Linked DNA regions of Nothobranchius furzeri. The protein of the gene in region 1 binds, or shares a complex with, the protein of each later gene. Links are inferred from orthologs where the notes say so. Each region holds a gene or a part of one and is shown in the gene's direction. Other genes may lie near its edges. The genes, in order: snap29 and vamp8.

What was found.
Region 2: the proteins of snap29 (region 1) and vamp8 are in contact, whole or in part, in a crystal structure (PDB 4WY4), measured with the Homo sapiens proteins. The link is inferred for Nothobranchius furzeri from reciprocal best matches to the Homo sapiens genes SNAP29 and VAMP8. Residues at the interface, in NP_004773.1 of Homo sapiens: Leu206, Leu209, Ser210, Leu213, Leu216, Lys217, Ala220, Leu221, Met223, Gln224, Ile227, Glu228, Gln230, Asp231, Leu234, Leu237, Thr238, Val241, Asp242, Leu244, Asp245, Ile248, Lys249, Thr251, Glu252, Val255, Arg256, Leu258; in NP_003752.2 of Homo sapiens: Leu16, Glu19, Val20, Val23, Ile26, Met27, Gln29, Asn30, Arg33, Ile34, Arg37, Asn40, Leu41, Leu44, Lys47, Thr48, Asp50, Leu51, Thr54, Ser55, His57, Phe58, Thr61, Ser62, Val65, Lys68, Phe69.

What each region holds. Positions count from the first base shown.
Region 1 is NC_091757.1:55,819,020-55,823,391, reverse strand, and holds the start of snap29 (synaptosomal-associated protein 29), read left to right. Parts: upstream 1-1,516; 5' UTR 1,517-1,773; intron 1,774-2,468; coding exon 2,469-2,705; intron 2,706-2,943; coding exon 2,944-3,137; intron 3,138-4,023; coding exon 4,024-4,109; intron 4,110-4,190; coding exon 4,191-4,295; intron 4,296-4,372. Other genes in the region: pi4kab (phosphatidylinositol 4-kinase, catalytic, alpha b), read right to left, coding at 1-4, 1,337-1,435. UniProt on the Homo sapiens protein: SNAREs, soluble N-ethylmaleimide-sensitive factor-attachment protein receptors, are essential proteins for fusion of cellular membranes.
Region 2 is NC_091757.1:27,703,038-27,707,570, forward strand, and holds the start of vamp8 (vesicle-associated membrane protein 8), read left to right. Parts: upstream 1-1,593; 5' UTR 1,594-1,779; coding exon 1,780-1,794; intron 1,795-4,533. UniProt on the Homo sapiens protein: SNAREs, soluble N-ethylmaleimide-sensitive factor-attachment protein receptors, are essential proteins for fusion of cellular membranes.

The sequences.
Region 1 (4,372 bases):
GAACCTGAAAGAGCACAAAAAGATTAAGATGAACGAAATATCCACCGCCTCTACTAAAAAAGGTCACTGCCTGGATCTACTCAGGAAATATGTAAGAGCATCCCATCGGTCACATGAAATAAGGTAAAAAGCTTCAGTCTATGGGGGAGTAAAAAATTGGAACCTAAAAGTATGAGATGTGATCAATTCAGGTTGTGATGGCAATGATGGGCGCATCGGGGTTAATAAGAGTGACTAATAAAGAGAAGCGCATATATAAGCTTGTGGGAACATCATTGTTTGATCTGTCTAGTAGGTGCAATTATGTTATACGACCACGAAAGAGAAGGAAAAAAGGTAATCTGGTCATTTCAAAACAATGAAATTTTTCAATCTAATTACACTTTCCTTCACTAACTGAACTTGCACATTGCATTATTAAAATACCAGTATTTAAAGTTATTATATAGTATTTAAACGTTTTACGAGATCTGGGAGCAAATAAACACTGGGGTTTTGCGGAAGTTTGTGGTAATTATGCCATAAAATGCATCACTAAGTTAAAACCTAAAGATGACATTAAAGGTTTGTGGCTTTTCCAAATAAACTTTATATCTAAAAGTCAATAATATGTCACAAGGGTTCTGCTATTTCTTTATAGTATCAGTCTCAAATGTTGCAGTGTTTCTTGTTTTACGACACCTGCATGATCCAATATTTACCTGTCTTATAACTGAAATTTTACAACAATGTAACTGAAATTATTTCTGATTTTTGTAAAAAAAAAAAACATTTGTACTGTATTCAACCCGTTATTAATACACATGAATTTTCCATGTTTTATTACCTGTTTGATATTCTAGCTAAAACTCTAAATACACAATAGATAATGGAGTGCGTGGATAGTTGGTTCAACAAAATCAATCAAATCGACTCTCGTGCGAGCTTCTCTTAAGTGGTGAAGTAAATCTTCTTCATTCTCCACCCTGTAGTTTGAACAGGTTAGTATCCACAACCAGCTGAGCACTTTCCCCCCTCATCTGTAAACCTGTTTGACCGCAGCGAGGCTGGCTACTCCGCCTGAGTGATGCAGTAGCAGGAACCACACAAGCGCAGCAACAGCCCGTTTATCTTCTGATACGGGAGAGGGAAACATTAATTCCCGTACTGGTGACTTCTAAATGCAAACATAAACGGAACTGTCAAACGTTAATCTTGTCTGTAATCAAAATAAGGCACCGCCTGGGCGTGCGGAAGCGGAGCAACACCCTAAACACCAGTGGTCATTACTGTTCCGACCTAAGCTAATTTTATGCTAATTTTTGTCAAGAGAAAATTACTCTGGATTTTTCCTCACCTTGTCGACGGGGGCAGGACGATGAGCAGCAAGTGAGCGGGCCAGCGATAGAACTGTGTTGAAATAAAACCCTCTCGTACTGCCTCCCATTAAAGACATGTTTACGATTCCATCAAGCCAGCGTTATGATTCAACAATAAGAGGAAACGGCAGAGCAGCGGCAACTAGCGTTAGGATACCGCAGTACGGACGGAAGCCCAACACGGACAATTCCATGTTGCGCCATTCAATATATTGAAGCTATTTACTTTTTTTTATTTAACCAAGTAAGCTAAGTTAAACATATCCCATCCGAATTTTTTATATTTTAAATTTTTATTTATATTATTTTATACACGAGGAGTACTTTTATACTTTTTGTTGCGCACGGCACACCACTACGTCATCCAACGTGACACAGTGCTCATCTGTAGCACTGAGTTATCGACAGTCAGAAGGTGAGTGTCGTTTTAATTATCATTTTTAGGGTGTCGTTTGGCACATGCTATTTCATAGCTGAAAAGGTGTTTACAGTCAAACTACACCGCGGCTTTGTCTCTCGGGTGTGGCTGTTTGACGTGTGGGTCGGCTAGTTCTGCTAGCAGTATCTTCTCGAACATGCTAGCCAACACCTATTAAATAACAACACAGAACAACAAATATTATTGTCTTTAGGTTGTATAATACCGGTGCCATACAGCAGTGAACTGCTTGGAGCCACCCATCATTTAAAACATGTTTTCTTCTGTGAAGACTGAAACTTGTTGAAAGTAGAAAAGAGTTCTTTTCAAAATACAGCTAAACTTTTTTCAGATTAATGTGTCAACTTATCTGTTGATGCTAATGGTAAGTTGTCGTTATGTTGTAGGGACTGTAATACGTTACAAGCTACTTTTTTTATATTATTATCTATCTTGGCAGGTGTTCTCACGTGTATTTTTAGAAAAGTAACTTATGAGGACTTATTTGGATTTTAATCACTTCTTTTATGACTTATTTCAGTTTCTCACAACATGATATTATTTCACTTTCTTAATGTCAAAAGCTTTGCTTAGTGGTTTTTATACAGCAGATGAGCACACTTAATCCTGTTGACATATATTTAAGACTTTAGATAATATTATTTTGTCAACACTGTGCGTTTAACTTTCAGATGGCCTACCCAAAATCTCACAATCCATTTGCTGATGACGAGGAGGAGGAAGGATTTAAGCCTAAAAATAGGGATTTTGATGGTGAAGCTGATGACAGCGGGCTGTCTGACGCTGAGAGGAGGCAGAGGTATCTCCGACAGGAAGTAATGCGCACAGCACAGTCTGCTGTGGATAGCAGCCATCGTTCCCTTGGTCTCATTTATGAATCTGAGAAGATGGGTGTGGAAACTGCAGAGGTATAAGTCCATCCATCTATCCATGCATTCTTCATCCATTTTTTGCTCATTTATTTTAATGTTCTTCTTTCTCTTTTGGCTTTTGCCTTCAATGGTCCCTATGGTGAATTGTCTGTCGTCATTCAGTCCTTTCCTATCTGCATTCTCTACCCTCACATTAACTTCACATCCTCTTTCACCGCATCCATAAATATCCTTCCTCGGTTGCTCATTTATTTTTATGTGTATATGTGTTTAGGAGTTGGTGCGACAAGGTGAAGCTCTGAAGAGGGCTGACAAGATGTTGGAGGGTATGGATCAGGACCTGAAAACCAGCCAAAAGCATATTAACTCTATCAAGAGTGTGTGGGGAGGTCTTGTCAATTACTTCAAGGGTAAGCCAGATGCAAAGCCAACCCCTGAAGAGCCAAAAGCCTACGAGACCAATGAACGGTACGTTTCAGTCACTCCTGTGCTGCTGTCATATCAATACCATTTTCTTATTTGTTGCAGGTCCAACACTTTAGACTTTTTACTGCTTTTGCTATTGTCATTTTTACAAATATTCAATAACTTTTATTTTAAAGTTGAATGCAAATCAAGTTCTAAAGCTTAATGGAATAGAAGTTATAAAATATTACAGCATTTAAAGAATCATAATTATTAGGATTAAAAGTTGAAATCTGACTTCATACTAATACAACTGATTCATTTACTAGACCTTCTAAGCTACAACGCTACAAAATGTTAGAAATGTATAATGGTAAATGGCCTGTATTTGATATAGCGCCACCTAGAGTCCTATAACCCCCCAAGGCGCTTTACATCACAGTCATTCACCCAGTCACACCCTGGTGGGGATGAGCTACGATGTAGCCACAGCTGCCCTGGGGCGCACTGACAGAGGCAAGTCTGGCGAGCGAGCACTGGCACCACCGGTCCATTTGACCACCATCAGCAGGCAAGGGGGGTAAAGTGTCTTGCCCAAGGACACAACGACAGCGACAAACTGAGCGGGGCTCGAAGCTGCAACCTTCTAATTACGGGGCGAGCACTGAGCTCCTGTGCCACCAACACCTCATAGTATCAGTAGTTGACCTAAAGTTACTGTTTTATTTCTAAAGTATCCCTGAATTTACAAACCAAGCACTGCTGGAGGATTTTCAGAGGTTACTACAGGTGAGGTGTAGCTCCTCCCTCACCTCTAGCACATGTACTAAGGTGCTTCATGTGTTTAATGAAAGTAGCCCCAAACGTTATTTATCATAGAATCCAGAACATGATCATTATCTGGAAATTTCAGTTCATTTCTTGTTTTGAATTGTACTTTTTGTCTCAGATTACAGAAGGCCATGTCCAGCAGCAGAGAACATGAAGATAAATACCAAGCGAGCCACCCCAATCTAAGAAAACTGGAGACAGGAGGTGGGCGTTGGCACATGAACCTGGGTATGTTTTAATCATCCCATGAACCAGCCGTCATCATTTCTCCTTCCTGTGTTCCAGGTTTTGGAGCAGCTTCATCCTTGGATTCTGGCTCATCCGGACAGAATGGATACCCACAGAACAGCTACCTCAAGGAGGCTCACCACACCCTTGATAAAAATTTGGGTAAAAATAATTCATTTCTGTTATATTATACTGAACCTTGACTAAATTGTGCAATTTTCTAATCACATGATGAGAAA
Region 2 (4,533 bases), about 28 Mb from region 1:
AATGTTTTAGTCTAACAGCTTTCGATAGGCATGCATTACAAATAAAACCAGAAGGAAAAATGTGCCTGGCCAGAGAAAGGGTCTGGGAACTCTGCTATTTAAATAACCCCACCCAGAAATCTAACCGAGCCAATCAGCGCTGAGTAGCGTTCGTCACACACCACAACGCCGAGTTTGTCACAAACACCCTCCTTTGCCAGATTTATGAATGACTTTAAACAATATTTTTCCTCGCTTAAGCATCTAAAATCAGACCGATTTGTTACAATTCATGACAAAATCTCATCTCTCGGTCTTAGACTATTAGGCTCTTATCTTCTGTGCTACAGGATTGTATTTGTATTTGCAGGAGTATTATTTGGATGTTGTGTTTGCATTAACCCCCCGTCTTGTGTCTTGATTTTTGTAAAGTCCCTTTTATTTTTGTTATGTCCCTTTTGTTTTCACGTATCTATTTTATGTTGTACATAGATGCTGTCATGTTATTCACTAAGCTGTTGGTTTTGGCTGTTGTATTGACGAGACTGTAATCCTCAACGAGAATATGTATCTTGTTCAATTATAAATAAAGAACATGGCGACTGAATGGGGAGTTCGCTGCGGCTCTTTCCTCTGTTCTAGATGACTTTGGCACGTCTTTAAAACAACAAGTAGAAGCACTAAAAGCCTTACTTCTAAGAAAGATGGCGCTGTCGCCAGACGCCATTTTTGACTACAGCTAAAAAACTACTGCATTGCGCGGTACTGTCTGCATTTCTGTCTTTTTTGTGATTGGTGATTTTTGAGCTTCCTAGTCCCGCCCCTCAAGTGCCTCTCTGCCTGTGAGGAACCAGACACTCTCTGCAGGATTAAACAGGACCAGTCTGGCAGGCCAGGCTAAAACCTATGAGGAAAACACACACACAGCACTCACTTATGAGTGTTATTGTCTTGTTTAAAAGCTGAACCACTTTCTATGTAACAACTATTATTACATTATAATAGTTTAGCACAGATGTCTGCTGTGGTGAATAAAAAGTATTTATTTAAAACTTAGGCCTACTGCTAATGTGAATTTGTTATGTTTGAATTGCTCTTATTTTTGCAGACGTTTGTTTAGTTGAGCATCGGATTAAATCACAATCCAACTCTCACCACTGACTCACAAATCAGCAAAGCTTCAGACAAATAAACGGATGAATAAATATTCTATGTGCCCTTGAAAGGTAATTACACTCAGTTTATCAACAGCAGACACAATACAGGAGTACATCTTCTAAATAAAAGCATAGATGTTTCACAATAAAACAAACGATGGCCCAGGTTCATAACAAAATGTATAAACGCAGAAGTAAAAATAGGAAGAGCATTAAATAATTAAATAAATAAAATAATACACAGTTTAAAAAACTTAATTAAAATCCAAGTGATTTGGTTAACACGTTTTATCTCCTGTTTTAAATTATGAAACAAATGTAGTACCGTTTTATTTTATTTAACTTTTCTAACGTAATGCTTGTAAATGTTAATAAACTTACTTTAAACCGTTTAATGAGCTTCACGTTTATCGCTTTAATGAAACCGGATGTGGGTTTGAGCTGAAAACTCGAAGCGAAGGAATTCAGAGTGAAGAGAAAAAAACAGGAAGTGAAACCAAGGAGGAGCGAGTGAGAGAGAGAGAGAGAGAGAGAGAGACACCTGTAGGAGCGTCAAACTTTTAGGTTTTACATCATTTTAAAGGTTTTAAACTAAAGAACCGTGTCTGTGGGTCTTCTGAAGGAGGATCTAGTTTCTGACAGGATGGACGCGGACCCGGTAGGTGATGTTTTTCTTGTTTTGTTGCAGCGACTCCATAACGAGGCGCCATGTAAGGAGCAGGTGTGTTTGTTCAGGTCACATGAAGAAAATGAATAATGTTTGAGTTGAGGGGACACCTGTAACTTACGACCCTGTTTTCCCTGAACAATGGCGTCCACTCGGAAGCTGCTCTGCGGTCCTGCTGTTGGACATTTACTTAAGTTAATGTTTGAAAGTGTGAAGTCGGTGTTTAAATGAGCGTTTTAAACGCTGTTGCAGCTTAAAGCTGTTTGTTAGCTCAAACTTAGCTAGCTAACTTAGCTCAGAGATGCTGTAGCATCTTGTTCCTGCTGGCTGGAGAGGTCAGAGGATCAGATACTTCAGAAGGTGGAAATAATTTGTTTTGGACTGAAACCTTGGTCTGTCCACATACGTTTGGTGTGTTTTCTAAGCAGGCGTGCAAACAACAGATGTAAAAGTAATGTTGTTGCTATTTAAGATAAACTGATCTGTATCATCTTATTTTTTCAGGGCATCATCATTGAGGCACTTGGATTCAATTTCTGTAGTTTTGAACCACTTTAGGACACAAACAAATGTTTTTTTATTCTGGTCAGCTGGATATCTAACGGTGGTTTTTGACTGTTAAATGTTTGTGACCAAGTGAGAAAAGCTTTGCATGCAAATCTGAAGCAGGACTGATCCTCTGCTGCTGCTGGGAACAGAGGTGTTTCAGTCTTTATAATAGAGACAGAACAGATTAAAGCTGAAAGATCAGGATTTACACTCCATTCAAATCTCACATGTGCTCACAGATTAAGGGAATTTCACATTTGACTAGTTAAAGAGTCGGCATTTTAAATGGCTCACTGAGGATATAGGTTACATTTATTTTGCAATCAAATGAAAGTTTTCCTTTAAATTTACCTTTTAAATCATAGAGACCACATCTGTGCCAGCTTTGTAGTTGCCTGCTATCTAATTTTATTTCCTCTTAATCAGGTTTTACTGGAAGACCCAAGTTCGTCTTCATCTGCTTCCTCTCCAGCACATGCTGAGCTCTTTTAAATGAATCCTACCATCTTTATGCAGATGGCATCCAACTGTACATCTCCTTTAAGAACCATGAGATGTCTAAGCTACAGCTGTTAGTGTTTCCCCTAGGGATTTTTCCAGCTGTGGTGGTGGGGGGGGTAATGACACGACTCACCTTTATGTTAATATTGTTTTATTTGATGCACTCCACTTTGAACTACACCAGTACAGCAACTGCTGCATTTTAATGACTAGTATTGAAGGTGAATACCTCTTATTTATTATTGGAAATCCTTACTTTGGTTAAATAAATCAGTTGTTGAACCCCCCACTCCTCTGTTTGGTCTCCTTTCTTATTACAGCCCACCACTTCCAGTCTGGGTTGTAACAATCTGCAGACAGATTTCTGAGCATCTCCTCCTTTGGTACACAGATCCTCACTGAGCCATGTACTGTGAACAAATAGTTTCTCCGTGATATTATCCAGCAAGATCTTGTTTTTGTCAAAACAAGGGTGAGGTAATGAAAAAATAGAAATATTTCAATAAATTAACATTAAAATTATTTATATGCATAATTAAAAAAAAACATGTTTTGAAATATATAAAGTGCACCAAACTTGACTCAGTCCATTCAACAATTCTAAATGGACAATTATGTAACTCATCAATTAATTATTTGAAAGGATAATTTGTCAATTAAATGCTGAAAAAAATAAACAATACATTAATGAGGCAAGAACTTTTTAAACTTGGACATACCTACACCCACAAGTCTATTTTTACCTGGTTAAAACCATCTAGCTTATGTGCACTTTTTAAAACACTGCCCAGCAAACATTCGGACGTTTAATGACAGTTGAACGGTCACAACTGTAAAATAATATCACAGGAATTAGGAAAGAATAACATGACATCAACTCTATGTCCCTTGGCCGGACTCGAACCTGGATCCTCCAGAGTGAGAGTCACCCGCTCTCCCAGCTGAGCCATGACAGCAACTGCTGAATCTCAGATTTTTTTATACAGATAGCTAGAGAGTAAAGTGCGGAGTAAACTAACCAATCAGAGGACAGGGAAGATCTGCCACAGGCCACGCCTCCAGAGTGCCAAAACTCCTCACAGCCGAGCGAGCGGAATTAGAAACCGAGCGCGCAGAGGCTGCCGAGCGCGCAGAGAGGCTGCCGCGCGCGCACGTTTTCCTCTGCCGTGTGCTCGTTGGCAACGCGCGCACGCAGGTTTGTCACTTGTGCACATCCTTGTGCGCTCACAGACACAGTTTGCTCCCTCTCAGTGCACAAATGACCTCTCGCCATGTATATTTTCGCTCGCGAGTCCCGTTCACACGCGCACTGTGGACCCAATGCGCGTGCACGGGTTGTGGCACGGGTCTGACGCGATACTCTCTCCCCCAGAGATCGGTGGACTCAGTGGTCTCCTTTAAAAGCAGCTGAAAACTCACCTGTTCAGGCTGGCTTTGGTGTGACCTTAACTATTGCCCTTTTCTTATTCAGCTCTTTCTACCAATTCAGCCTTTCCCAGCATCCACTGATTACCTCTTTTTTAAAATAATTTTCTGTTTTTCTTTCCCAAAAATTTCTAATCACAATGAAAATTTTTCTTAAATATATGATATTTTTTAATAATTATTTAAAGTCTTTATTTTTTATTTTTTTATTTGCTCTTGTGAAGCGCCTTGTGATTTTTGTCTTAAGAGGCGCTA